Callithrix jacchus: one gene and its partners. The protein of the gene in region 4 purifies or fractionates together with the protein of the main gene of each other region. This does not show direct contact. Links are inferred from orthologs where the notes say so. Each region holds a gene or a part of one and is shown on either strand. Other genes may lie near its edges. The genes, in order: CREBBP, DNMT1, MAP3K5, DAXX, RNPS1, HSPB1 and CBX5.

Region 1 (3,500 bases), on a different chromosome or scaffold from region 4:
ATCGTGCCACTGCACTTCAGTCTGGGTGACAAGAGCGAGACTCCATCTCCAAAAGAAAAAAAAAAAAAAAAAAGAAAAGTTAATTGTTAACTTTTTGTTATGTTAACTAACTGTAAGGTGAGAGTGACATGCCATCTATACTCTTAAGTTTATCTCATTCTGAGGGATCTCCACAACTAGAATCTGGAACTAGAAAATAAGATGAAGCTTTTGAGCTAACCCCAGCCCTCTCATGCAGCTCAAAGTGCAGAGGCACATAAGACCAAACTGCATCAAGGATCTTTGTCTCCATGACAGGGGCTGCAACTCAGTGCTCCTCAGCAGTACAGAGCCACCCATGCTCTCTTTGACAGCCCCACTCAGCAAGGACACAGAGTGTGGGAATCTCTGGCCTGCCCAGGGCTGCCAGAGTTCTACCCGCAGTGGGAGTGGCTCCCTAAATAAGCGAATGGCTCGTACAGCCTAGTAGGGTACTGTCATCTGGTAGCCAATGGGCAACACAGGAACAAAACCAGGTATCTATGAAACTGCAAACCTGTTACGTACAGTTTATGCACTAGATGGCTCCGCAGGTCCTGAGTGACATGTTCGTGCCAGCCTTTCCTTACACCAGTGCTGGAAGGAGGAGCTGCTGTTGGTATGGTACTGAGAGTTCCAATGCTACCAGAGTTGGAGCCATCGTTCATCAGGGGGCTAGGGAGGAAACAAGGACACTTCGTCCATCTACCGAAGGAACTGAAACACACTTAGTCTAATACGGTTCATTTACCACCATATGTGACTTTTAAAAATCTAAGTCAGGAGAGCCAAGTGATGTATGTACACAAAGTTAAACTACGTTTAATCTATTACCTGTTCTACATTTATAATTAAAGAAAAAAGAAAAACAGCATTCATCCCTCACCACCCCATTTAACTATTTTCTCTATCGCGCATTTAGAAAGAATCAGGTCTGTGCGGTTTCGGCCCACACTTCCGTAGGACTGCCACTCAGAACTGAAACACGATCTTACTTTGCAGCCCCCAGGGAAGTTGGAAGAGCGGATTCTGAAATCAAGTTTGGGGGCTGCTGATCTGTTGTTATTCCTCCTGCTGGAATCGTCATTGGGTTATTTCCTTTAAAGACAGAAAGAAAAGAAATCGATCAACTCTTAAAATTTTAATATATACTTCAAAGTGTTGATGACAGATAACCAACATGTCACCATATAAACAATCGGTGATTATTTAAATAAGCGATTCTGATCAGTTATAATAAGCACAAAGGCAGGAACCCCGAGTGTCATATTTCAATAATGGTAACCAACATGCACAAATAATCAGTAGACGCCTCCCCACTCTACTTTGTAACCAAAGTAAAACCACTAGGTTAGCTGGTATCTAGTGACCCATACGCAGCCTCCAACTTTCATTCTGCTTCATGAATCTCTCTCCTAAGTGACTCAGCTGCCCTGACACATGCCTCTATCATTACCCCCAATATGAGAAAATAAAATCATAGAAATTAAGCTCAGGAAAAAATATCGAGGTGAATTTGTCTACAATCTTCATACTAAAGTAAACGAAAGCTGAGATTCAAAAGGTTAACCCTGTCCCAAATTACACCATCAACAGGAGAGGAATTACATTAAGACTTTGGTCTCAGGATTCTAGTCTCCTGGCCAGTATTAATGAGATATTCATTAGGGCAGTTGTTTTCCAAAAAGCAACAAATAAAGTGACTTTAACTGGGCATATTTTAAGGTGTAATTTTTAAGAGTATAATACTTACTCTATTAGGAAAAGAACAAAACTAGAACAACTAGTTAACCAGACTTGACTTTACAAACATCACTACTTAGCTTAAGCCAAAATGTAAAGGGACTGTGTCCACTTAAAGTAAAATGTTAAAGAAACCATATGCAGAAATGACAAAAATCATGGTGATGTGTAAGCAAATGACCAAACGCTGGCAAATAATGGGCTGGGGTGACAAAGGAATATTGGTGTGTCCGGCAGCCTGAGCCAAGAACGTCCCCAGGACTCCTGTCTTTAACCTGCTGAAGTCCAGGCTGGCACTTCTAACTGCAGGGAAGACCCTAACCCAAATGTGTGAGAAACTGCCAGACACAAGTTCTCCATCAAATAAATGACAAGAGTCAGCAGGAGGGGTCCGCTCAGCATCTTGACGTGTGAGATCTGCATTCTGAGCCACATGGCACATTCTTTATGAAAACTGTCCAGACAGAAGTGGCACAGAATGCAACAAAAACATTGCTTTATTTGCAAATGCAAATAAAAAATTCTTTTTATAAGCATGTAACATTTTCCTTGCATCAGACACTTCAGCTTTTTCCTGTTAGATTTTTATTTCAATCATTGTAGTAAAAAACAAAACAAACAGAAAAGTGCCTTGGGTTCCATCACTCCATTCCCTTCAGTGCATTTGGACAAGTAGGAACGAGGTTGAGAGTTCTTTCACCTACCCAGGGGGTTGAGAGTCCTCATCTGCTGGTGGGTTTGAGGCTGTGCTGGTTGCTGGCCAGGAACCTGAGGCTGCAGCTGCGTCTGGGGCTGGTTCATGTAGGGGAGTCCGAGAGCAGCATAGGCTCGCTGCATGGAGCTGGGGTCTATGGGATTTGGGTTACTTAAAGAAGTGGCATTCTGTTGCCCTGTGCCAACAGAACCAATTGTGTTTTGAATCCCACTAGCCGGAGACCCCAGGATGGCTATAACAACAAAGAGACAGACAAACAAGAAAGGTTAGCAAAAGGAGGAAGCCCACAAATGGTTTAACAACTTCTGAGAAGCAAACACATTTTACCAAAAGACTACACGTGAATATCAGAAAGCCATGAAACAAGGCTAGGGAGAAAGGAGCTGTTTTGAAGGAAATTCTCATTTATTCCGCCTTGCAGTAAGAGAAGAACAAAAAGCTAAAGAAAAGTCAAGTTTCTATCTTAGCATGCAACAGATCATAAAATCTCACTTAAAAAAATTAGTATATCTTAAAATCTAGAGACTCCTTAAGAAGTCAGTTCCAGGGAGTGGCAAATGGATGACAAAGGAAACATCTGATTCTCTGGGGGCCAGCAGACACCTCTGAGATGAACAGAGGAGCACCCTCCTGCTGCTGATCCCAACCCTGTCCTTCACTGCTCACCTGCACAGGTAGAGAAGGAGCAGAGATGATACCTGGTCAGTCACTTTTGATTAATAAATCTATGCTGTGCTCTTCCAAATCACATAACTGGAATTCCTTGAAACTTACACAAACAATGACAGCATGAACACAACCTTTTGACGGGATTCCTATGCGGCAGAGCACCACGCTGAGCTCTCTGGCTACATGAAGCTAGTCAAGAAATACTGCACGTGACCGACTGATCTGTTTCAAATTAAGGATGGAGGAAAGCTTTGCAATTCCACATCAGTCTTGTTATCCAGGGGTCTCCTCAGTACTCATGATATTCAGGAGGTGGCTCTGCCTCACATGGCCATCATCAGCTTCTGCTACCTAG
Region 2 (4,261 bases), on a different chromosome or scaffold from region 4:
ACTCGGGAGGCTGAGGCAGGAGGATCACTTCAACCTGGGAGGCAGAGGTTGTAGTAAGTCAAGATTACGCCATTGCACTCCAGCCTGGGCAATAGAGTAAGACTCCATCTCTCAAAATAAAATAAAATAAAATAAAATAATTCCAGCTGGTTGCGATTGCTCACGCCTATTTAATCCCAGTACTTTGGGAGGCTGAGGCAAGCAGACGCTTGAGGCCAGGAGTGCCAGACTAGCCTGGCCAACACCGTGAAACCCTGTCTTTACCAATAAAAATACAAAATTAGCCAGACTCGGTGGAGTGCGCCTGTAATCCCAGCCTTCTAGGGAGGCTGACGCATGAGAATTGCTTGAAACTGGGAGGCAGAGGTTGCAGTGAGCCAAGATCTCACCACTGCACTCCAGCCTGGATGATAGAGTGAGACAGAATCTTATCCTGTCACCCAGATGGGAGTCCAGTAGCCCAATCACATCTCATTGCAGCCTCCACTGCTAGGGCTCAAGCCATCCTCCCACCTCAGCCTCCAGAATAGCTAGGATTACAGGTATGTGTCACCACACCTGGCTAATCTTGGTATTTTTGGTAGAGATGGGGTATTCCTATGTTGCTAAGGCTGGTCTTGAACTTCTAACCTCAAGCCATCCTCCCACCTGGGCCTTTGAAAGTACTGGGATTACAGGCATGAGCCACAGCGTCTGGCATGGTACTTCTTAATATATTTTTACCAATCTTCCTGCCTTAACCTCTGGAGTAGTTGGGACTACAGGCACACACCACCATGCCTAGCTAATTTTTTTTTTTTTAGAATGGTTTCTCCATGTTACCCAGGCTCCTGGACTCAAGCAATCCTCCAGCCTCGGTCTCCCAAAGTGCTGGGATGACAGGCATGAGCCATGTGGTGCTTTAAAAAAAAAAAGGAACAACAACAACGAAAAACCCCACACTGGCTATAGAAGAGGCACGGGCCTCTGTACACTGTGAGATTATTAGTACTAGCTACAAATTCTGTGCATACTCAAGATTTTCTGGAGTAGGTGTAATTACCCGGTTTTACAGGCAAGGATGCAAAGGCTGAGCCTCAAAGACCTACCCAAGGTCGTATAGCCGGCAAATAGATGGAGGTTGGATTAGAACTGAGGACTTTATTCAAGAGCCCTATTCTCACAACCCCATGGGGGCTTCTCGCTGCTTTATTCCCAGCACGCCTGAAAGAATGAATGAATGAATGCCTCGGGCACTGTGCCCACCTCCCAGCAAACTGTGGAGCTTGGACGAGCCCACTGTTTGGCGCGGGGGTGCCTGTCCGCCTTGCGCATGCGTAGTCCGTCGGCATGGACCGCTCCGCTCCATCCGTCTGCACAGGGTATCGTCTCTCTCTGTTTGGTACATCCCCTCTCCCCCTGCGCCAGGGCCAGGGTGGTACACGCCGCCTCCGCTAGTCGCCCCTCCCCATCGGTTTCCGCGCGAAAAGCCGGGGCGCCTGCGCTACCGCAGCTGCTTCTGCTCTAACCTCCGAGATGCCGGCGCGCACCACCCCAGCCCGGGTGCCCACGCTGGCCGCCCCAGCCATTTCGCTGCCCGACGATGTCCGCAGGCGGTAGGTACCATGGGGGGATCGCGGACTCTGGGGACCAGGCAGGGCGCTGGGTGGGGGGTCGTTTCCCCTCGGGGTGGCCGCTGGCCGCTGCTGACAGACGGGCGCGCATGCGTGGGGTGGTGCGGCGCGCAGCGGCGGTTGGCGCGGGCAGAGTGGCACTTCCGGTCCCGCGTGCCCGGGCTGTTTGGCGCCAAAATGGGCCGTGGATTCCCCCGTACCTCCCTGGTGGCTAGAAACTAGGTAGCGGGAGAGGTCTCTTTTGATCCCCAAATCGAGCAAGCTTTGGGTTTGTCTCCAGGGTTCCCTTCTCCACGCAGTGGCGTGCCGGGCTCCTGCTTCCAGCCTGGTTGCACAGGAAGTGGGCAGCCCGCGGCCAGCGGACACCCCTCGGGCACGGGCACTTCGGCCTCCACTTCCGGTGTCCGGCCGGGTCCCTGGGGGTGCTTCTCTGGCGGGAGGGGGTGCCTCAGTGCCTTTCCCCAAAAGCTGTGCATCCCGGTAGCGGCCCCCAGAGACGGACGTCATCGCTCGGGCCCGGGCTGGGCTGGCTACTGTTTGCGAGCCCAGCCTTCCATCAGTGGGGGGACTCATTCTGTCACTTGGGACTGTGCGGTCCTTGCTCCTTGGGAAAGTCGTGTTTTGGCAGGAACTTTAAGCATGCAGTACAGTGCAGCGCAAGGAAGCGTGAAGGATGCATGGTCGGTCTTCACTAGTAAATGTGTGTCTGTACTAGTAAATCTATGCCTTTGAGTGGGCATCAGGGAAGCCTTGCTAATGGGAACTGGCTACACTTTCGGGTGTGTGTGTGTGTGTGTGTGTGTGTTTGTTTGTGTCTAATGTTGGGGGCCGTGGCTATAGCAATTCATAACCTCTGTCCAATTTCCGTGCATAAGTATCAGTGGGAGCACTGGTCCCAGCCCCTTGTTCATGAAATTTATGCCTAAGAACTTGTTCAAGTGAGGTGTGCATTAGTCATCAGACCCTCACCAGACCTGGACACTTCCAACTGGATTTGCAAAAGCACTCTTTGCCATTTTGCTTCCTTGGGCTTGTTAAGTGACCTGGTTGGGCCAGGCCAGTACTGATTTGGGTCCTTGGGGTGGGATGGATATTTGGTTTGACCCCCTCTTTCTCTTTTTGAAGGCTGGGCGCTGTGGCTCACGCCTGTAATCCCAGCAGTTTGGGAGGCCGTGGCGGATGAATCTCTTGAGCCAGGAGTTTGAGACCATCCTGGGCAAGGTGGCAAAACCCCATCTTTACTAAAAATACAAAAATTAGCCAGGAGTGGTACCATGCGCCTGTAGTCCCAGCTACTGGAAAGACTGAGGTGGGATTAACACTTGAGCCCCAGAGGTTGAGGCTGTAGTGAGCCGAGATTGTCCAACCTGAGTGACAGAGTGAGACCCTGTCTCCAAAACCACTTTTTAATTTTATTTTTAGAGATGGGTCTCTGTTCAGGCTGGAGTGCCCTGGCACAATTATAACTCACTGTAGCCTTGAACTCCTGGGAGTAGCTGGGACCACAGGCCGCTCACCACCATGTCCAGCTGACTTTCTTAGTTTTTGTTTCTGTATACATGAGGTCTCACCATATTGGCCAGGCTGGTCTTAAACTCCTGCCCTCGAGCAGTCCTCGTGCCTCTGTATCCCAAAGGTTAGGATCACAAGCGTGAGCCACCCTGCCTTAACTACTCCGTGTTTTTTTTTTTTTTTTTTTTTTTTGAGATGGAGTCTTGTTCTGTCGCCCAGGCTGGAATGCAGTGGTGTGATCTCAGCTTGCTGCAGCCTCCACCTCCTGGGTTCAAGTGATTCTCCTGCCTCTGCCTCCCAAAGTGCTGGGATTATAGTCAAACCACGTCATAACCAGTTAGTGGGGATATATCTTCTTGAATTATCTGTGCCAGTATCCTCCCAAGATAAACCTTGGTTTAAAATGGAAGTGAAATTATGAAAGTGTCTAACTGCATGATGTTAAATGCAATTCAGAGAAGCTTGGGCCTAGTCTTTTTTATTTGCTTTTATTTTGCAGAGATGGGGTCTTGCCATGTTGCTCAGGCTGGTCTTTGACTCCTGGACTCAAGCAATCCTCCTGCCTTGGCCTCTCAAAGTGTTAGGATTATGGATGTGAGCCTGGCCTGCCCAGCCTTCTTGAAAACACAGCCTCCACTTGGAGGACCTTAAACAAGCACATGCCACCTCTATATTCTTAGTCTAGGCATGATGACATGGGTTTTCAGCTGGTATTGGACTAAATGAGAATATGCCTGGCTCAGAAAGGCTCACATGCTAGTGGCCAATTAGCTTGCTTTTTTCAGTTTTTGTTTTTTTTTTTTTTTTTTTTTAAGAGATAGGATCTCACTGTATCATCTAGGCTGGAATGCAGTGACACAATCATGGCTCACTGCAGCGTCGAACCCCAGAGCTCAAGCCATCCTCCTGCCTCAGCCTCCTGAGTAGCTGGTACATGCCACCATGCCCAGCTAATCCTTAAAAACTTTTGTAGAGGTGAGGGTCTTGCTTCATTGCTCAGGCTGGTCATGAACTCCTGACCTCGTGATCCACCCTTCTTGGCATCCCAAACTGCTGGGATTACAGGCATGAGCTACCGTGCCCAGCGTTAATTCATTCTTAAACCTGCTCATAGACAGGTAGGCTTCCCCACAAGA
Region 3 (3,500 bases), about 100 Mb from region 4:
CTTAAATAATTTAAAGTTCCAAAAGCTTTACATTTGAATTATGTAATTTCGCAGAGACAGTGCGTAAATATGGGAACCATTTCAGTACCAATCATCTTGGCTTGAATTAAGGTTAGCAGTTGACACTGGCCTTTTACTTAGACGCATTTGGTAGCAAGCTTCTTCAGAGCAGGGCTATTTGCAAATTTATGTTTGAGCCCAATATCTAGTACAGGGCCTGGGCCACTGTGAAGAACCAATGATTGTTAGCTCAAATTACTGTTACGTTATTAATATTCTTTAAAGAGCTCATTTGAATGAGGTTTTATTTACTATTTATTCCTACTTTACAGGAAGTCTTTCTGCTCTCCTCCGTTCCAAATGGGGTCCATTAAAAGACAATGAGCAAACAATTGGCTTTTATACAAAGCAAATACTGGAAGGATTAAAGTATCTCCATGACAATCAGATAGTTCACCGAGACATAAAGGTGGGGTGCACCAGGATTCGTTTTCATGAGTTCTTTCTTTGCTGGGTTATTATTTTACTTGCAAAAGTCATATTGTGTTATGAATGTTAATTTAGAATGGTGAATAAGTAATTCTTAGAAACAGCAGAAATCTAAGCTATAATTCCGCCCTGAATCACTTCTTTATGTTCATGTGTTATCACTTCTGCTCAAGGAACAAACTGCTTAACTGTTCAGCCAACAAGATTGTGCTCCCACTATATGATGCTTCCTAGGGGCTCCGCAGGGTGGGATGCAGTTGTCTAAAGTTAAACAGGGCCCTGGTCCTGAGGAGCTTACAGGCTGGTTAATCTTTGTATCCTTTTCCATAGTAGCTACTCAGTAAATACTTAATGAATCAATGGATGAATGGTTAGAAGAAAAAAAAAATTCCTCTTTTCTCACAAGTATCACATATTCATTGATTGAACTATAATTATAAGGTATAGATTCTCTAAAATTAAAATAATAACTTTACATTCTCTTTTTAAAAAGAAAATTCAGAACAAATACATTTTTCACAAAGTCTAGACTATTGAAAGTAAGTTAATATTACTACCCTAAAATCAACCAAAATGCCCATTTATCTGTAGTGTCCCTACATGTTCCAGGAGAAAAAGTAAAGAACCATAGAAAAGAAAGTAAAGTAATTGGAAAGTTATGAAAATCATAATTTAATTATGCATATATCATTACATATCTGTAAATAGCAGCAAGCTCTAACCAATTAGGAATCATATTTGGTCTTGTGATCTGAGTAACAGATTGTGAAGAACTTATAACCACACAATGAGTTCATCTTGCCCGCTGACCAGATAGAGCTGACTTCTCAAGACAGAGGAATTGCAATCGAGAAAGTTTAATACACATAGAGATGGCTAAAACCAGATATTGGCGTTTTATAATAATTCACATCAGCCTCTCCCAAAATTTAGAGGCTAGGGTTTTTCAAAGATAGTTTGGCGAGCAGGGGGCTAGGGTACATGTGCTGCTGACTGGTTGAGGATGCAATCATAGGTGTGTGGAAAATGGTTCTTGTGCACCGAGTCCACTTCTGGGTGGGGGCCACAGTAATGGTTGAGTCCAGAGTCACAGGTCTGGGTAATGCCATCTGGTAGTCAGATATGGAGTAGCCTGAAAAGACAGCTCAAAAGGCCAGTCTTAGGATCTACAATAGTGATGTCAATTATGAAAACAACTGGGGATGTTGCAAATCTTGTGACCCCCAGAATAAGGAGCTGATAATCATGTAACTATGCCTGCATCTTAGCAGACTTTAGGCCCCTCTCATCCTCCTAACCTGGTTGCCTTTCCTTAGGTTTATGAAGGTGGTTTAGTTTTGGGGAAGGGCTATTATCATCTAAACTATAAACTAAATTTCCCCAAGTGAGCTTGGTCTACACCCTGGAATGACCAAGGGCAGTTTGGAAATTTAAGGCAAGATGGTGGTTGTTAGATCATATCTCTTTTACTGTCATCATTTTCTCACTGTTATAATTTTTGCAAAGGTGGTTTCACACTGATAATATGTAAACAAAAAACAGTATCAAAAATTCACTATTGAGATCAACTACTAATGAAGAATACAGAATTAGTGTCATTGGTTGCTGTAAGGACAGCTTTTTTAAAAATTGGACTTACCAAGTCAACAACAGACAGTATCTGAAGAAAGATAACATTTGTGCAACAAAAAAAAAGAAGAAAAAAAGAGAAACAAAAGAAAATTAAAAAAAGAAAGAAAGATAACATTTGTGATGAAAGTCCTCTGTTCTCTAGGGTGACAATGTGCTGATTAATACCTACAGTGGTGTACTCAAGATCTCTGACTTCGGGACATCAAAGAGGCTTGCTGGCATAAACCCCTGTACTGAAACTTTTACTGGTATGTTTTTACAATGATGATACAGATCTCATGTAATTAAAGAAATAATAATTGCTGAGTTTGAGCATAATGTGAGAGAGAAATTCAGTTGGTGTTCTCACACACAGTAATGTTGGTATCTTTTCTCTTTTCTTTCTTTCTTTTTTTTTTTTTTGAGACAGGGTCTTGCCCTGCCACCTAGGCTGGAATGCAGTGGTGTGATCACCGATCACTGCAACCTCAAACTCCCAGGCTCAAGTGATTCTCCCACCTCAGCCTCCCGAGTAGCTGGGACTACAAGCCTGCACCACCATGCCCAGCTAATTTGTTTTGTATTTTTGATGGAGACAAGGTTTCACCATGTTGCCTAGGCTGGTCTCAAACTCCTGGGCTCAAGCAATACACCTGTGGCCTCCAAAAGTGCTGGGATTACAAGTGTGAGCCCCGACACCTGGCCAGTATTGGTATCTTTCGATGCTCACTGAAAAATGTGTTACAGAATTTTATTTGGCTCTTTTCTCTTCCTGTATTTATATGACTTGCTTAGTTAGTCTCCTGCTTAATGCCACTGAAGTTTTTTTTTTTTAAGTCTCAACTTGTTATTTGTTTTTCTTTTCATGTGATTACTTCTCTCCTGGTTGGCCTACAGTAACTCCAGCAAGATTTTTTTTTTTATTAAACATTTCCTTGGCCCAACCTCTCTGTGATTCTTACTCATAGCCTAATCACTTCCCATTTGGAGGAGGAATTCCCTCTTTTACTGTTTACTCTCTGTTGTTGACTCCCCTACGCCACAATATAAATAACCACAGGATTTCAATTCAGAAAGAGGAAGTGACTAACTGACTCACAAGAGGGAGGGAGAGAGCCTTCCTGAGAAATTAGGCAATGCAGCCCCTGAGCTGCCTGTAGTGCAGTCCTGAGAGGGTGGAGACCAAGTGTTTCCAAAAAGGTAACAGTAGCCAAGAGGAAGCTCAGACTCAAGAGATTCAAGACTGCTCAACAGTAATAGGGAGGGTATGTGAGATTTCAAACCTGATCTCCACTCTAGGTTCTTATCACTTCATCATGCTGATTCTCATGAAGGGTTAAGTTCTTCTTATAGAGAGAAATTTAGCAAAAAAAAAAAAAAAAAGAGAAAAGAAAAGAAAG
Region 4 (3,979 bases):
TTTGCCATTCCGGGACTCAGCGTTAGGGATCTAAGGACCTCTGTGGCCCCAGTTAAGTGGCAAGATGTTGTGAAAGTGGGAATCTCAACGATTGGGACCCTGTTAACATTTCTGGTTTCCTCATAAGCTCACCTCTGGAAACAGCCTTGCCTCCACGACACCCTACAGTCTCCCTAAACTCAACGAGGTGAGTATCAGTTTGTTTCTTCATCCTTTATTCTTTTTTCAGCTCTCCCAGAAGAGGAGGCGGAGACCCAAGGTATTTTCGTCTCACAGACTCTCCTCCAAGTCCCACCCCATCATTGCCTATCCACAGACCCTGCGGGGGGGCCTCCACGACAAAGCACGGCCTCCTGGTCAGCACAAACGGCCCCTCGAGGACCCCCTCCGGAGAAGCAGAACCATTCGAGTCCCACCAGTTTGGTTGGCCATTAGTTCTGTGGTGAAGCTTGAAAAGCAAATCAACAACAGTAGCAATAATAATAATAACAACACTTTTGCATGGCGCGTTGTGCTCATTTGTATGCATGTGTTATAACAATCGGGAGACGCAGACCCTGGCAGTGGAAGCAACTGCTGGACAGCGGCAAGGAGCGCGCCGCCTAGCGGGGAAAGGGGAAGGAGCAGCCGAATAAGCCTTGGAAATGGGAATCTGGGAATCTGGGGGACAGGAAAGCAGGGCCAGAAGGCTTGCCAACAGCCCAGCTGAAATAAAAAGGTTTTACTTCCCTTTTAAGAGACTTCTGCCCTTCCATGAAATCCTGCGCAGCTTTGGAAAGCCCAATTCCTTATCCACCCTGTACGGTTCCCCTGCCCCTGCTCGAAAAGGAGGCTCGGTCCTCCCTACATGCTACTCGCCAGCGATTAGGCCCCAAGCAGGAAGTTTCTGATTGGCAGAGTCGTAGAAGCACCGGGTGAAAAGAGCTCCACTGGCTGCGCACCGGAGTCCGGGTTTAGCCAGCGCCGTACGGCAAAATGGCGGCCCCCAGCTGCTTTGGGAAGCTTGGGTTGGGGGAGACAAACTCCGATCTGAAAGAGAGCGCTATGTGGGCGGCACTGAAAGTGTTCACGGGGCGGGCCTACGGCCACTTCCGTCCACAGAAAGACTGGGTTCCGTACGACAATATGGCGGCGCTTAGTTGCCTGTAGGCGGAAACTCTGTGACTTCCGGTCCGTAGTGGGGCCTGCGGTGGGAGGGGGAAGGAAGGCGGAGGGAACCATGCGAGGTTCTGAGATCAGCCGCGAGGGTCGCCTCGAGAGACCGTTTCTGAGGTGGGGGCCGGCCGGTGCGGGGACCAGAGGCAGGGGCGGGGATATCGGGGGAGGGGTATGGGGGAGAGCCAGGCATTGGGTCTGAGGTGAAAGCTGTGATACCTTCCTATCCCTGAAAGGGAGTGGGGCGGCCGGGGGTTGAACTGGGGGAGGGGGATTTGGCGGGAAGCGCGTCTACTGGACCTGCTCGACCCAGGGTTGGGATCTAAGAGGAATCGGGAGAACGCAGCGCGGAGGCTGGGGGGTACTTTTGATCAGGTCACAGAGAGAATGGGGAAAATTAGGGTGGGGTGAGAGGGAGGGGACTTGGAGTAAAATATCTTCAACCTGAAGCCCCAGTTTGAGGAGACTCATCAGAGGGTGAAATATGGAGCCAGTTCAAGGAGGGGAAAAGAGAACGGACTGTTGGGAGGGAACCTCTTTTGCCTCAGAGAGTCTAGAAGTTGGGGTGATCATTCAGGATGGGGTGGGTGTGGGGTTGACATGTTTGAGGACAGACGTGGCAAATACATAAGGTGGCGCCCATAAGAGTGTGTTATCTGTACAAGGGGGTGTCAGGACGATTTGGGGTGCAGTGTGGGAGGAAGACTCAACTTGCCAACTCTGAGAAATAGTGGAGAGACGAAACTGAAAGACCGGAAATCGACGTGAGGGGTGGAGCAGAAGGTGGCAACTTATGGTGTGGGGGTGGTTTGCCCTCCCCACACCACTTGAAGAGCCCGAAAAGCATATAGAACTAATGGTTATTGAAATCAGGTGGTGAAGATAGTTTTGGTCAGGGATGGATGTTACTGAAACCCAAGGAGTTAGGAAAATGTGTGAGGTGAAGGGATGGGGCAATGCTGGAGGGGATCATTCTGAGGCCCCATCCCCTTCCAGCAGGAATTCTGAAATCCCCACCACTTCCTCCGTCTGGGGGATTTGATCCCCCATGGCCACCGCTAACAGCATCATTGTGCTGGATGATGATGACGAAGATGAAGCAGCTGCTCAGCCAGGGCCCTCCCACCCACTCCCCAGTTCGGCCTCGCCTGAGGCAGAAGCCCCTAGCTCCTCTGAGCCTCATGGGGCCAGAGGACGCAGTAGTTCGGGAGGCAAGAAATGCTACAAGTTGGAGAATGAGAAGCTGTTCAAAGAGGTGAGCTTTAGTGGGAAGATTTTTGTACCCCAGGGAGGGGGATGGCTGACTGGCTCTCCTGTCCTTTCTTCCCCACTAACCCCACCACCCCTTTCTCTCAACCCTTCCCTTGTCTCTCTTCCCTTCCCTTCTTCCCCTGAACCTTCCAGTTCCTTGAACTTTGTAAGATGCAGACAGCAGACCACCCTGAGGTGGTCCCATTCCTCTATAGCCGGCAGCAACGTGCCCACTCTCTGTTTTTGGCCTCGGCGGAGTTCTGCAACATCCTCTCTCGGGTCCTATCTCGGGCCCAGAGCCGGCCAGCTAAGCTCTATGTCTACATTAATGAGCTCTGCACTGTTCTCAAGGCCCACTCAGCCAAAAAGAAGCTGAACTTGGCCCCTGCTCTCACCACCTCCAATGAGCCGTCTGGGAATAACTCTCCCACACACCTCTCCTTGGACCCCACAAATGCTGAAAACACTGCCTCTGAGGCCCCAAGGACCCGTGGTTCCCGGCGGCAGATCCAGCGCTTGGAGCAGCTGCTGGCACTCTATGTGGCAGAGATCCGGCGGCTGCAGGAAAAGGAGTTAGATCTCTCGGAATTGGACGACCCAGACTCCACATACCTGCAGGAGGCACGCTTGAAGCGTAAGCTGATCCGCCTCTTTGGGCGACTATGTGAGCTGAAAGACTGCTCTTCACTGACGGGCCGTGTCATAGAGCAGCGCATCCCCTACCGTGGTACCCGCTACCCAGAGGTTAACAGGCGCATTGAGCGGCTCATCAACAAGCCAGGGCCTGATACCTTCCCTGACTATGGAGATGTGCTTCGGGCAGTGGAGAAGGCAGCTGCTCGCCACAGCCTTGGCCTCCCCCGACAGCAACTCCAGCTCATGGCTCAGGATGCCTTCCGAGATGTGGGCATCAGGTTACAGGAACGACGGCACCTCGATCTCATCTACAACTTTGGCTGCCACCTCACAGATGACTATAGGCCAGGTAGGGGGTTAGTGGGATACCTGTCAGTGACCTTTATATTGTCAGGTATGAGGCGGATGGGGCATCTCTCTAGTCCTTTCTAGGGTTTGTACTCTTCTAGGCCCTTCAAGGGCTGAGTGCTCTGACTTTATGTCTTCCCATGTAGGCATTGACCCTGCGCTGTCAGATCCTGTGTTGGCCCGGCGCCTTCGGGAAAACCGGAGTTTGGCCATGAGTCGGTTGGATGAGGTCATCTCCAAATATGCAATGTTGCAAGACAAAAGTGAGGAGGGCGAGAGGAAAAAGAGAAGAGCTCGGCTCCAAGGCACCTGTTCCTCCTCTGCAGACATCCCCAATGCCTCCTTGGATTCTGGTGAGGTGTGGATGGGGTACAGCCTTCAGAGAGACTTTCTCCTTCCCCTGCACTGGCCACCAGGGAGTCCAGGTTGACTGATGGGGGAGTATGAAAAGGAATGCAAGAATCAAACCCTCTGGGGCAAGGGATTCCTTAGAGAAACTTCTTTGTCCCCAGGGCCCTAGTGGAATGGCATCCCAGGGGTGCCCTTCCACCTCCAGAGCTGAGACAGATGATGAAGATGAGGAAAGTGA
Region 5 (3,500 bases), on a different chromosome or scaffold from region 4:
GGCTGAAAACTAAATTGTTCAGCCTGTAAAATGACAGTGATGGGCCCCACCATCTCCTCCATTTTTTTAAGAAAGATAAACTGGCTGGTCGAAGTGGCTCGAGCCTGTAATCCCAGCTCTTTGGGAGGCCAAGGCGGGTGGATCACGAGGTCAGGAGTTTGAGACCAGCCTGGCCAACATAGTGAAACCCTGTCTCTTTTTAAAAAAAAAAGATAAACTGGGGTGACAGTTCTGCCTGTGCCTCCTGTGGGGGTAGAGACACCTCCATGAGCAGGTGGGGACTGTCCCCATGTGTTCCTGGTTGTGTGGACGCACACTGCTTACTGTCCTCCCTTGCCGCCTTCTTGTATGCTCAGCTTTTGACTGCAAAGTAGACTTGCTGCCTTGCCAATTCGTTCACTCTTTAAATCCTTTTATCTTGTTATTAGGCTGCTCTTTGGCGTAAATTGCAATCAATTAGGGATCGTTTCTCAGAATCCAGTTAGAAGTGAGAGTTGAGATAAGTGAGGCCGTCATTGCTGCTTTGAACACCTCAGAAGGGGAGAATGGATTTATCAGGAGTGAAAAAGAAGAGCTTGCTAGGAGTCAAAGAAAATAATAAAAAGTCCAGCACTAGGTAATCCTTCTGTAAGATTTTTCTAGTGCTACTTTGGGGGTGCTTACTGCTAGGGACCCGCAGAAAGGGGAAAGTTGAGAATGTTGTGCATTCTGCAGTGAGTGTTCCGAGCCACAGACCACTTTGCTCTGTGATCACCTGGGATCTCTGTGGCCCTGCTGCTCCCCTTTTTCTGGGTTGTGCTATCTGGGTTTGGTCAGAGCAGCACACAGTCTCACACTCTTCCTCACCATCTAGGGCTCCTTCTCCTACCAAACGCAAAGACCGCTCAGATGAGAAGTCCAAGGATCGTTCAAAAGATAAAGGGGCCACCAAGGAGTCGAGCGAGAAGGATCGCGGCAGGGACAAAACCCGAAAGAGGCGCAGCGCTTCCAGTGGTAGCAGCAGCACCAGGTGGGCGGGCGGGCCTGGAGCCTGTAGGGACCTATGCCACAGCCACACCCTCACTCGCCACAGATGGCTCCGGTTTTCTTGATTATTTACAAAGAAATCACATCCTCTTATTGTTAGTAGAAACCCTAGTTTATGGCGGATTGGCCAGGCAAAGTGGCTCATTCCTGTAATCTCGGTACTTTGGGAGGCCCAGACGGGAGGATGGCTTGAGGCCTGGAGTTCCAAGACCAGCCTGGGCAACAAAACAAGATTTCGTCTCTACATTTTTATAATTATGTGTGTATGGTGGCATGCATCTGTAGCCCAGCTGTTTGGGAGGTGGAGGCAAGAGGATAGCTTGAGCCCAGGAGTTTGAGGAAAATAAACAAAATTAGCCAGGCATGGTGGTGCACACCCGTACTCCCAGCTACTCAGGAGGCTGAGTCGGGAGGACGGCTTGATTCCATGAGGTTGAAGCTGCAATGTACGGAGATCATGCCATTGTACTCCAGCCTGCGTGACAGTGAGACCCTGTCTCAAAAGAAAAGACAACTGAGCCTGAGTCAGCATCAGCCAGCAGCTGCCTTCCCAGCCTGAGTCGGCAGTTCTGACTTTTGCTAGACTCCACCTCCCGACAGGAAAGGCTTCTCTATGGGTAGAAAGCAGCCTATCACCTCTGTCCTGTTCCCTGCACAGTGTGACACCTAGGGCTCTGGTTTGCTGGGGGATGGGACAGGAGTGATGTTTTCCACACTAGGGAAAGTAGGGAGGCCTGGAGATACCCAAACAGCAGTTTCCTCCTTGGGGGAGCACAACAGACTTGGAGGAGGCATCTGTACTGTGAGACTTGGCGTGTGGTAGTTGCGATCCCTTACCTTGCCCTCAGGTCTCGGTCCAGCTCGACCTCCAGCTCAGGCTCCAGCACCAGCACTGGCTCAAGCAGTGGCTCCAGCTCTTCCTCAGCATCCAGCCGCTCAGGAAGCTCCAGCACCTCCCGAAGCTCCAGCTCCAGCAGCTCCTCTGGCTCTCCGAGTCCTTCTCGGCGCAGGCACGACAATAGAAGGCGCTCCCGCTCCAAGTGAGTTCTCCATGCCTGAGAGCTAAAGCTTACAAGATGGGGGCTGGAGATTTGCCACTGGGGTTATGAAAGTGACCCCAAAGGAGTCTTTCTGCCTTGATAGGACTTCTGAGACAGGAATAATGTACATGCCTTCCTTAGGAAAACTGTCTTACAATCAGATGAGGCCCACTCAAAGGAATCTAGTACATTCTGACTTGACAGAATGTTTCTGGTGTTGTGTTTTCTCAATCAGATCCAAACCACCTAAAAGAGATGAAAAGGAGAGGAAGAGGCGGAGCCCATCCCCTAAGCCCACCAAAGTGCACATTGGGAGACTCACCAGGAATGTGACCAAGGTGAGGATCACGGATCTCTGGCTGTGGACAGGCAGGCCTGTGCCCCCAGGTAAACTTAGAATGTAGCGTTTTGGAGGACTGGGGTGGTGGTACCTGCTTTCAGTACAGCACTGATTAGTTCTCTTAGTGGACCATTAATAGACGTGTCTAGGAGATGTATACCAGAGCGACACTGGTGCTCACTGGATGGATTGTTTTGCCCTGCCAAAGTTTTAGTCATGATGTGGTGAACTTGCTGTACATCTGACACGACTAACTGGAAGCTGGGAGTTCAAGTGACTCTTCTTTCCCTCTAGGATCACATCATGGAGATATTTTCCACGTATGGGAAAATTAAAATGATTGACATGCCAGTGGAAAGGATGCATCCCCATCTGTCCAAAGGCTATGCATACGTTGAGTTTGAGAATCCAGATGAAGCTGAAAAGGCGCTGAAGCACATGGACGGAGGTGGGTGACCCTGCCACATAACCCAGCCTCTCAGAGACACAGCACCTGTAGAGACTTGACTTCCACCTGCACTGCACTTCTGTCTGTCTGTTTGTTTGAGATCACCCAGGCTGGAGTGCATTTGTTCCTGGACCAAACTGAGGATTGGGCCGCTATTTCTCATGGCCTGGTAATGAGATGCAGATAACTGAGGAGGAGGAAAGTTTTTATTTCTGCAGCCAGTTGCACGGAGAAGGCCTGGAAATTACTGCCAGAGCAACTTAAAGTTACAGAGTTTTTCAGCTTTTATACTTTTTAAGTTATATGTCTGTGCGTAAGTGTGCATTTATCTAAAGATGTAAGTGATTAACTTTTAATCTGTAACTAAGGTTTGAGTCATGGAGACCTTCCTCTGGAGCCTCAGTAAATTTACTTAATTTACATGGGGTTAGGTGCCGGAGTAAGAAGCCTTCCTGTGACTTCTGCCAGATCACAGAGGGTTGGGGAGTTTTTTAGGCCCCGGTGAAACTTGTTTAAAGGAGTCACATTAAGAATATCTTCGTTATTTTGTTGTTTTAAGACCCAGGAAAGGCCTAGGCAAAACTTGTGGTGGACTTTCTCACATCCGAGCCTTTGTATAACGGCACTGGCTTTTAATTTAACTTAA
Region 6 (3,392 bases), on a different chromosome or scaffold from region 4:
GTCGGGAGATCAAGACCAGCCTGATCAACATGGTGAAACCCCCTCTTAAGAAAAAAAAAAAGGAAAAGAAACAGGGTCTTGTTCTGTTATGCAGACTGGAGTGCAGTGGCACAATCAGGCTCACTGCAGCCTCCTGGGCTCAAATGATCCTCCCACCTCAGCCTTCTGAGTAGCTGGAACTACAGATGCACGCCACCATCCCCAGCTAATTTGTTTTGAATTTTAGTAGAAATGGGGTCTCACTGTGTTGCCCAGGCTGGTCACAAATTCCTTGCTTCAAGTAATCCTCCCACCTTAACCTCCCAAAGCCCACACACCTTGCAACCACACAGATTGTCAGATTCCTTTTTTTTTTTTTTTTTTTTTTGAGATGGAGTTTCGCTCTTGTTACCCAGACTGGAGTGCAATGGCACGATCTCGGCTCACTGCAACCTCCGCCTCCTGGGTTCAAGCAATTCTCCTGCCTCAGCCTCCCGAGTAGCTGGGACTACAGGCACGCACCACCATGCCCAGCTAATATTTGTATTTTTAGTAGGGACGGGGTTTCACCTTGTTGACCAGGATGGTCTCGATCTCTTGACCTCGTGATCCACCCGCCTCGGCCTCCCAAAGTGCTGGGATTATAGGCGTGAGCCACCACGCCCAGCCATCCAGCTAATTTTTAAACATTTTTTGGTAGAGGTGAGGTCTCACCATGTTGCCCAGAATGGTCTCAAACTCCCGGCCTCAAGGGATCCATCCTTCCTGCCTTGGCCTCCCAAAGTGCCGATTACAGGCATGAGCCATGCACCCAGCCCCTTTTTATTTTTTTGAGACAGGGCCTTGCTCTGTTGCCTAGGCTGGAGTGCGGCGGTGAGAACATAGCTCACTACAGCCTCGAACTCCTGGACTCAAGCACCAGACTGCTTTACATCACATTCCACACACAGCCTTGTGGTTCCAACCCTGCCTCTGCCACTTCCCAGCTGTTTGCCCCAGCCCAACCTGTCTGGCGCTGTCCTGCTTAACAAAAGGACTGGCCTGGCCGCCGGCCACACCCGCCAGCGCTGAAGCACCAGGGCCTCCGAGTGCCCTAGTGTGGCACGTCTCCAGCGTCGCACTCTCGAACTCATTTGTTTTCCTTAACGAGAGAAGGTTCCAGATTGGGGCAGAACCCTCTTCGCCCCGCCCACGGCCCCCTGAACTCTGCGGATGGGGGGGAGGGGTGCATGGGGAGAGGCGGTCCCAAACGGGTCATTTCCATTAATAGAGACCTCAAACACCGCCTGCTAAAAATACCCAACCGGAGGCACATAAAAGCGCGACCCAGCACCGCGGCCCGCACTTCTCCGAGCAGACGTCCCGGGCAGAGCCAGCCAGCATGACCGAGCGCCGCGTCCCCTTCTCGCTCCTGCGGAGCCCCAGCTGGGACCCCTTCCGCGACTGGTACCCGCACAACCGTCTCTTCGACCAGGCATTCGGGATGCCCCGGCTGCCCGAGGAGTGGTCGCAGTGGTTCGGCACCAGCAGCTGGCCGGGCTACGTGCGCCCCCTGCCCCCCGCCGCGGTCGAGGGCCCCGCAGTGGCCGCGCCCGCCTACAGCCGCGCGCTCAGCCGGCAGCTCAGCAGCGGGGTCTCGGAGATCCGGCACACGGCGGACCGCTGGCGCGTGTCCCTGGACGTCAACCACTTCGCCCCCGAGGAGCTGACGGTCAAGACCAAGGATGGCGTGGTGGAGATCACCGGTGAGCACCCCCTGGCCCTGCAGGGGAGGGGAGGAGGCTAGCGGGGAGGGCGGGGCCCGGGGGTGCGGTTGAAACCCCGGGCCTGGGGAGTTAAAAGTTAGCCCAGCACCGGGAAAAACGGGATCCGTCCGTGATTCCCCTGCTCAGGAATCGGGAGTGCAGGTCGCTTCTAAGGTCGCTTTCTGCTCTGTTATCTCAGCGCCTTGGGAGGCGGAGGCCAGGAGTTCAAGACTAGCCTGGGCAATATAGCGAGACCTCCCCCCCTACCAACTACAAGAAAATTAAAAAGCAACCAAAAATGTTTTAAAAGATCATCGGTGAAGAAATGCTTCTTTCCACGGAACTCTCTCCCCACCCGCAGCCCCATCCGCAGATAAGCGGGTCCCCTGGCGTGGTCCCTGTCCCTAGCCGCGCGAGGGGCGTGCGTGCTCCTCCCAGTGCGCCTGCGCGTTGCTCCCTCCGCCCCTCGGCACCCTGCTCCGTTCCTCCCAAAACTCTTACTCGAACTTTCCGGAAGTTTCTGAGAGCCCGGACAGGCCGGCACGCCCCCACCCCCAGTCTCCTCTGTTAATCCCTGCCAGCCTGCAGTCCTGGCTGCCTCCAAGCTGGAGGTGGGGCCTCTGGCCTGGCGGGGCCGAGAGTCGGTCCCCTTTCCCTCATTCTGATTTTCCTGTCCCCCGAAGGCAAGCACGAGGAGCGGCAGGATGAGCACGGATTCATCTCCCGCTGCTTCACCCGGAAATACTCGTGAGTCCTGCCGCCAGGTCGGGGTGGGTGGGTGCCGGGGGCTAGGGAGGAGGGCACAGGGACCCACCCGAAGTGTAATGTAACGTTCACATTCCCTCTCTGCACGTCCAGGCTGCCCCCTGGTGTGGACCCCACCCAGGTCTCCTCCTCCCTGTCCCCTGAGGGCACACTGACCGTTGAGGCCCCCATGCCCAAGCCAGCCACACAGTCCAACGAGATCACCATCCCTGTCACCTTCGAGTCGCGGGCCCAGCTTGGGGGCCCAGAAGCTGCGAAATCTGACCAGTCTGCAGCCAAGTAAAAGCCTTAGCCCGGATGCCCACCCGTGCCGCCGCCACTGGCCATGCCTCCCCCCCCACCTGTGTGTTCTTTTGATACGTTTATTTGTTTTTCTCAAATAAAGTTTGAAGCAACCCACCTGTCACTGGCTCAGACCCTGGTGTTTGTGGAAGGAAGCTTCGGGCACCTGCCATTCCCTGGCTTACACTAGCCACCTTTGCTCAGGGTGTGCTGGGTGCACAGCCCCGTGCTGGGCCATGTGGGTACTCCCGTGTAGGTTGCTAGGCACAGGCTAATTCACATCCATAAAGACAGAGAGGTCCTATTGCCCGGCATTGTGGCTCAGACCTGCAATACCAGCACTTTGGTAAGTTGAGGCAGGAGGATTGCTTGAAGCTGAGAGTTCAAGACCAGCCTGGACAACACAGTGAGACCCTATCTCTTAAAAATAAAAAGCCAGTTGCAGTGGCTCATGCCTGTAATCCCAGCACTTTGGGAGGCTGAGGGGAGCAGGTCATGAGGTCAGGAGTTCGAGACCAGCCTGACCAACATGCTGAAACCCCATCTCTACCAAAAATACAAAAATTAGCCAGGCGTAGTAGCATATGCCTGTAATGTCAGCTACTCAGGAGGCTAAGACAG
Region 7 (4,115 bases), on a different chromosome or scaffold from region 4:
GGCTCTCATCGGTTGTTTCAAAGCTCAACCCTCCAATGAAGAGCTTCCTCAGCTGTTCCGGCTCTTTAGGAGACTACAGTGGGGGAGGCGGAAGTGTTAAATGAGCTGTAACACCAAACAATTTCCATCGAGGAAAATCAAAACTAGACAACTGTGTATGTAGCACTTATTGTTCGTTCAGATTGCAACAAGCCATGTGCTTCTCTCTAACAGGGGAGAAGGTATGTTGGGGGTTGGGAGTGCTGCGAAATCCAAAGCGCATGCGTCCCTAGTCGCCTTCCGACGCACGCGCAACAAAGGCTTAGGCGGGAGGGGTACATCGCCAAAATGGGACTAATCGCTCTTTTAAAAACTCGCTCACCAAAGCAAGGTTTAGAAAAGGAAAAGCCTTATGTGCGTAAGAATTTTTGCTAAGACTATAGAGTGCTGCATAATAACTCATGATTGGCGCGAGCGGCCTCATGGCGATCAACAGGACAAAATGGCGACTTGAACTTTGGGAGGGGTAGGCCGTGGCAGCAACCTAAAAAACTGTAGAATGGGCTGGTGAAAGGAACGAAACCAAGCCGCATCTTACCAATTCAGGAAAGGAAGAGGAAGAAATTCAAGTTGGAAAGAGCGCCTAACTCACCTCTGACTTAGACATGATCGCGGGGAGAAGAGAGACTTTAACGATGCTGCTTCGGCGGCGTCCACGGGCAGAAAGGAGCAAACTGACGAACGTATCTGCCAGCCTACCTTCGGCCTTTCTTTTTTACCCCGCCTCCTCCCTTTCAGCATTGGTACACTCCGCCCTTGAACAGTTCTGATTGGATGTGTGAAATCTCTTCCCCCTACTATTGGCCTGTGGTGCCACACTGCTGTGTAACGTCATTCCTTTGGGCGGTCTACGCCCTCTCCACCCCTTGGAGTTCATTGGTTCCCGAGTAATATTATTCTTAACCAGTCTGATTGGCCAGCCGATAAATCATTCATATTTGAATATACCTTGGGTGTTTAACGCCTTTTTAATCTTCCCCGCACAAATATTACGCTTGGCAAAGCATGATTAACACTATGTGTCAGAAAAGCAGTTAGCCAGCAGGTCAAAATTTTGACTGCTTGTTGAGCGCACGTGTAGTAAAATGGCGAGTTTTGCGCAGGCGCATTAAGAACTTCCAGCAGCCTCTGGGAACACGTGAAATGGCGGGCAGTACTAGGCAGTGACCCTACGGCGCCTGCGTATTGGCGGGAGTTGGTTCCAGCTTTGCGCATGCGTGGTGGGCGGAGAAAGGGTCCGTTCCCGGATTGGTTGCGCAGGCGCAGGGAAGGATCCGTTTTGGCGGGCGGTTGGCGTTGCGCAGAAGGTGGTGGCGGTGGTGGCTTGCGTTGCGGCCTCACCATACAGCAACAGGGCAGACGTTAGCGTGAGTGATCACTCTCAATCCCGGGTAAGTGGCAGACAGTCTTCTCTACCCATCGTAGGTCTCGAACTGACTCTATTTGGGCCCGTTATTGTGTGAAATGAATGGACCGCGGGGTGGGGGATAGTGAAAGGGCAGCGGTGGGTCGGGCCAACCAATAGAAGAACAGGGGGCGGGATGTTTTAATCCCTGTAGGTTCTTTGGAGCGGTGCAGCTGAAGACTTTGACTGGCTTGCGTATACGCCAATTGGGTCTGCCTTGAGCTGCCGACTGATGGGCCCTTGGGGCCATCGGAATGTGGGAGACGGGTTTCCCCTCCTGAGCTGCGTCTCACTGAGCCAGTAAGCGCGAAGCGCGCGGTAGGTTGGGCTTCTCCAGGAGGCAGCGGTTTGACTCCAATGGGGAATGCGGGAGTCGGGCGGTTAAACTGATGGACCGAATCTGGAGCCAGTAGACGGACAGCCTAAGGAAAGTGCTCGGACCAGTCGTCCAATCGACTCCAGAAGAGGGAGGTCTTCGATTTGGGGTTGTGAGGAAGGGGAGTCGGTGAATGTAATGGCGTGTGAGGGTGAATGTTTTATCCACAGTGACTTCTCTAAGGAAGCCTTTAGGCCTCTGTCCCATAAACCTCCTTGAAAGCGTAAGTTTGCTCCTGGCTGCCTCGACTTGACATTTTCCCCCCCACCTCCTCACCACTTGAGGTTTGGAGAACAGGGGAGGGTTTTGTTGTTGTTAAGTAATACTTTGAGAAGTCGCTTCTTTAGGAAGCTGTTAAAATGTTAGAACGAATAGGAAAAATCACAACATACTGTCATGGAAAGGCGTTCGAGAAATATTTCTTTCCTAATAGTGCATATTTCTGAACTAATATGTTGTAGGTCTAATAAAAAAGTTTCGGAAAGCTACACCCTAAAGTGTGTCAATCCTAGGGACACAGTAGGATCGAGGCAAGTTGGATCTTTAATGTTTAAAACTTTGCAGGGTTAATGATCTGTGATTAAAACTAAATAAAAAATGAAGTCAGTTGTTTTGTGTTTCTAGTCATAATCACATACCACCCCTTTTCTGTTTTATATAATCCATGTACCCAGTGCTTTTATTTTAGTCTCTTTCTCCCGGGAACTTTTCCCGCTCATGTTTCCCCTTTCTTCACACCATTAAAGATATCCTAAAGCCCCTCTTTTTGCTGTTCCTTTGAGAATATCTGACTTTGAAATAAAAAGGAAACTGCTTAAAGAGGGTAATATTTAGAGTTCTAGGGAAAGAAGACTCATCCATCACCTGGATTATTCCTTGCTTTTTTATTAGATTTTCTTCCAAGTGTATTTTGCATGCAGTCTATCTCCTTTTGGTAATACCCACTCTGCTTATTCCAGGATCTTTTGGAGAAATAAATCAATTTTCATAACATTGGCTGTATCAGAGTCTTACTGTTTTATTCACTGATTTATTCAGGATCGAGGGAAAATATTTACTGAAAATCAACTACCTATGAAGTACACTTACGATTAGAGACCTTTCTGACTTTACCAAAGACAAACAATTTTAGTGAAGTTTATGAACATTGGAGAGATTTCCATGTTCTCTGGCAGTAGCAAAAGGACATATTTATAATTTATATCTGACTTTAAACCTATTTGCAGGTATTCTAGTAATGGAGTTATTGAGCTGAGAACTAACTAAAGTGATACAGGTTAAGGATATCTGTCCTGGATTTATTTACGTTTGAAAGTAATACAGTCTTGAATTATAGCAAGGTTTCTCAGCCTTAGCACTGTTGATATTTTGAGGCAGACAATTATTTGTTGAGGAGGCTCAGGGTGTCCTGTGCATAGTGAAATATTTAGCAGCATCCCTGGCCTCTACCCAGTGTATTCTAGTAGCGTCACCCCACTCGCTACATCCGCATTGGTGACAATCAGAATGTCTCCAAACATTGCCAAATGTCCAGGGAGGTAGGGGCGAGGGTAGAATCTCCCAGTTGAAAACCATTGATCTAGAATACTGGAGTATGCGGGGGCACAGTTTTGTGTTCCTGTAGTCCCAGCTACTCTGGAAGCTGACACGGAGGCAGGAGGCTTGAGCTCAGGAAGTCAAGGTGTGAGATGATTATGCCTGTGAATAGCCGCTATACTCCAGTCTGGGCAGTACAGCAACACCCTATTGCTAAAACAGAAATAAAATGCTAGAGTTTATTATCTTTTCAAAATCCATTATTTTAGCAACTGGTAAGTAGGTAAAGGTGGGAGAAGATTGTTGAAGTGTTTTTGTTTTTTAAGACCAAGTTTTGCTCTTGTTGCCCAGGATGCAGTGCAATGTTATGATCTCAGCTCACTGCATCCTCTACCTCACAGGTTCAAGTGATTTTCCTGCCTCAGCCTCCCGAGTAGCTGGGATTACAGGCACGCACTACCACACCTGGCTAATTTTGTATTTTTAGTAGAGATAGGGTTTCTCCATGTTGGTCAGGCTGGTTTTGAACTCCTGACCTCAGGTGGTCCCCCCACCTCAGCTTCCCAAAGTTCTGGGATTATAGACGTGAACCACCATGCCTTGTGGATGGTTGAAGTGTTTAGGGAGTGGCCTTTGGTAAATGGATGACTAAATCCTGATGTTTATCTCCTTAGGACATAGAATTGATTATTGTCCTACTTGATAAAAGAAAAATTTCTTTAAAATTATTACCACTTCTTGGCCTGGCTGCAGTGGCTT

Evidence for each region.
Region 1: the proteins of DAXX (region 4) and CREBBP purify together in Homo sapiens (affinity purification with western blotting; 3 studies listed by BioGRID and IntAct, with this or other methods). This does not show direct contact. The link is inferred for Callithrix jacchus from reciprocal best matches to the Homo sapiens genes DAXX and CREBBP.
Region 2: the proteins of DAXX (region 4) and DNMT1 purify together in Homo sapiens (affinity purification with western blotting; 4 studies listed by BioGRID, with this or other methods). This does not show direct contact. The link is inferred for Callithrix jacchus from reciprocal best matches to the Homo sapiens genes DAXX and DNMT1.
Region 3: the proteins of DAXX (region 4) and MAP3K5 purify together in Homo sapiens (affinity purification with western blotting; 7 studies listed by BioGRID and IntAct, with this or other methods). This does not show direct contact. The link is inferred for Callithrix jacchus from reciprocal best matches to the Homo sapiens genes DAXX and MAP3K5.
Region 5: the proteins of DAXX (region 4) and RNPS1 purify together in Homo sapiens (co-immunoprecipitation; 3 studies listed by BioGRID and IntAct, with this or other methods). This does not show direct contact. The link is inferred for Callithrix jacchus from reciprocal best matches to the Homo sapiens genes DAXX and RNPS1.
Region 6: the proteins of DAXX (region 4) and HSPB1 purify together in Homo sapiens (affinity purification with western blotting; 3 studies listed by BioGRID and IntAct, with this or other methods). This does not show direct contact. The link is inferred for Callithrix jacchus from reciprocal best matches to the Homo sapiens genes DAXX and HSPB1.
Region 7: the proteins of DAXX (region 4) and CBX5 purify together in Homo sapiens (affinity purification with mass spectrometry; 3 studies listed by BioGRID and IntAct, with this or other methods). This does not show direct contact. The link is inferred for Callithrix jacchus from reciprocal best matches to the Homo sapiens genes DAXX and CBX5.

The regions. Positions count from the first base shown.
Region 1 is NC_133513.1:5,895,637-5,899,136, forward strand, and holds part of CREBBP (CREB-binding protein), read right to left. Parts: intron 2,709-3,500; coding exon 2,466-2,708; intron 1,117-2,465; coding exon 1,014-1,116; intron 694-1,013; coding exon 547-693; intron 1-546. UniProt on the Homo sapiens protein: Acetylates histones, giving a specific tag for transcriptional activation. Mediates acetylation of histone H3 at 'Lys-18' and 'Lys-27' (H3K18ac and H3K27ac, respectively).
Region 2 is NC_133523.1:9,373,678-9,377,938, reverse strand, and holds the start of DNMT1 (DNA (cytosine-5)-methyltransferase 1), read left to right. Parts: upstream 1-1,461; 5' UTR 1,462-1,515; coding exon 1,516-1,595; intron 1,596-1,713; exon of another isoform or gene 1,714-1,835; intron 1,836-4,261. UniProt on the Homo sapiens protein: Methylates CpG residues. Preferentially methylates hemimethylated DNA. Associates with DNA replication sites in S phase maintaining the methylation pattern in the newly synthesized strand, that is essential for epigenetic inheritance.
Region 3 is NC_133505.1:143,406,012-143,409,511, reverse strand, and holds part of MAP3K5 (mitogen-activated protein kinase kinase kinase 5), read left to right. Parts: intron 1-332; coding exon 333-469; intron 470-2,263; coding exon 2,264-2,369; intron 2,370-3,500. UniProt on the Homo sapiens protein: Serine/threonine kinase which acts as an essential component of the MAP kinase signal transduction pathway. Plays an important role in the cascades of cellular responses evoked by changes in the environment.
Region 4 is NC_133505.1:41,563,007-41,566,985, reverse strand, and holds the start of DAXX (death domain-associated protein 6), read left to right. Parts: upstream 1-1,179; 5' UTR 1,180-1,272; intron 1,273-2,151; exon of another isoform or gene 2,152-2,154; 5' UTR 2,155-2,203; coding exon 2,204-2,410; intron 2,411-2,559; coding exon 2,560-3,391; intron 3,392-3,536; coding exon 3,537-3,748; intron 3,749-3,902; coding exon 3,903-3,979. UniProt on the Homo sapiens protein: Transcription corepressor known to repress transcriptional potential of several sumoylated transcription factors. Down-regulates basal and activated transcription.
Region 5 is NC_133513.1:4,505,914-4,509,413, forward strand, and holds part of RNPS1 (RNA-binding protein with serine-rich domain 1), read left to right. Parts: intron 1-428; 5' UTR 429-545; coding exon 546-616; intron 617-853; coding exon 854-1,009; intron 1,010-1,874; coding exon 1,875-2,066; intron 2,067-2,301; coding exon 2,302-2,404; intron 2,405-2,700; coding exon 2,701-2,854; intron 2,855-3,042; exon of another isoform or gene 3,043-3,500. UniProt on the Homo sapiens protein: Part of pre- and post-splicing multiprotein mRNP complexes. Auxiliary component of the splicing-dependent multiprotein exon junction complex (EJC) deposited at splice junction on mRNAs.
Region 6 is NC_133503.1:11,064,272-11,067,663, forward strand, and holds HSPB1 (heat shock protein beta-1), read left to right. Parts: upstream 1-1,320; 5' UTR 1,321-1,360; coding exon 1,361-1,724; exon of another isoform or gene 1,725-2,165; intron 2,166-2,407; coding exon 2,408-2,471; intron 2,472-2,582; coding exon 2,583-2,772; 3' UTR 2,773-2,892; downstream 2,893-3,392. UniProt on the Homo sapiens protein: Small heat shock protein which functions as a molecular chaperone probably maintaining denatured proteins in a folding-competent state. Plays a role in stress resistance and actin organization.
Region 7 is NC_133510.1:65,270,094-65,274,208, forward strand, and holds the start of CBX5 (chromobox protein homolog 5), read left to right. Parts: upstream 1-1,315; 5' UTR 1,316-1,430; intron 1,431-4,115. Other genes in the region: HNRNPA1 (heterogeneous nuclear ribonucleoprotein A1), read right to left, coding at 1-73, 632-646. UniProt on the Homo sapiens protein: Component of heterochromatin that recognizes and binds histone H3 tails methylated at 'Lys-9' (H3K9me), leading to epigenetic repression. In contrast, it is excluded from chromatin when 'Tyr-41' of histone H3 is phosphorylated (H3Y41ph).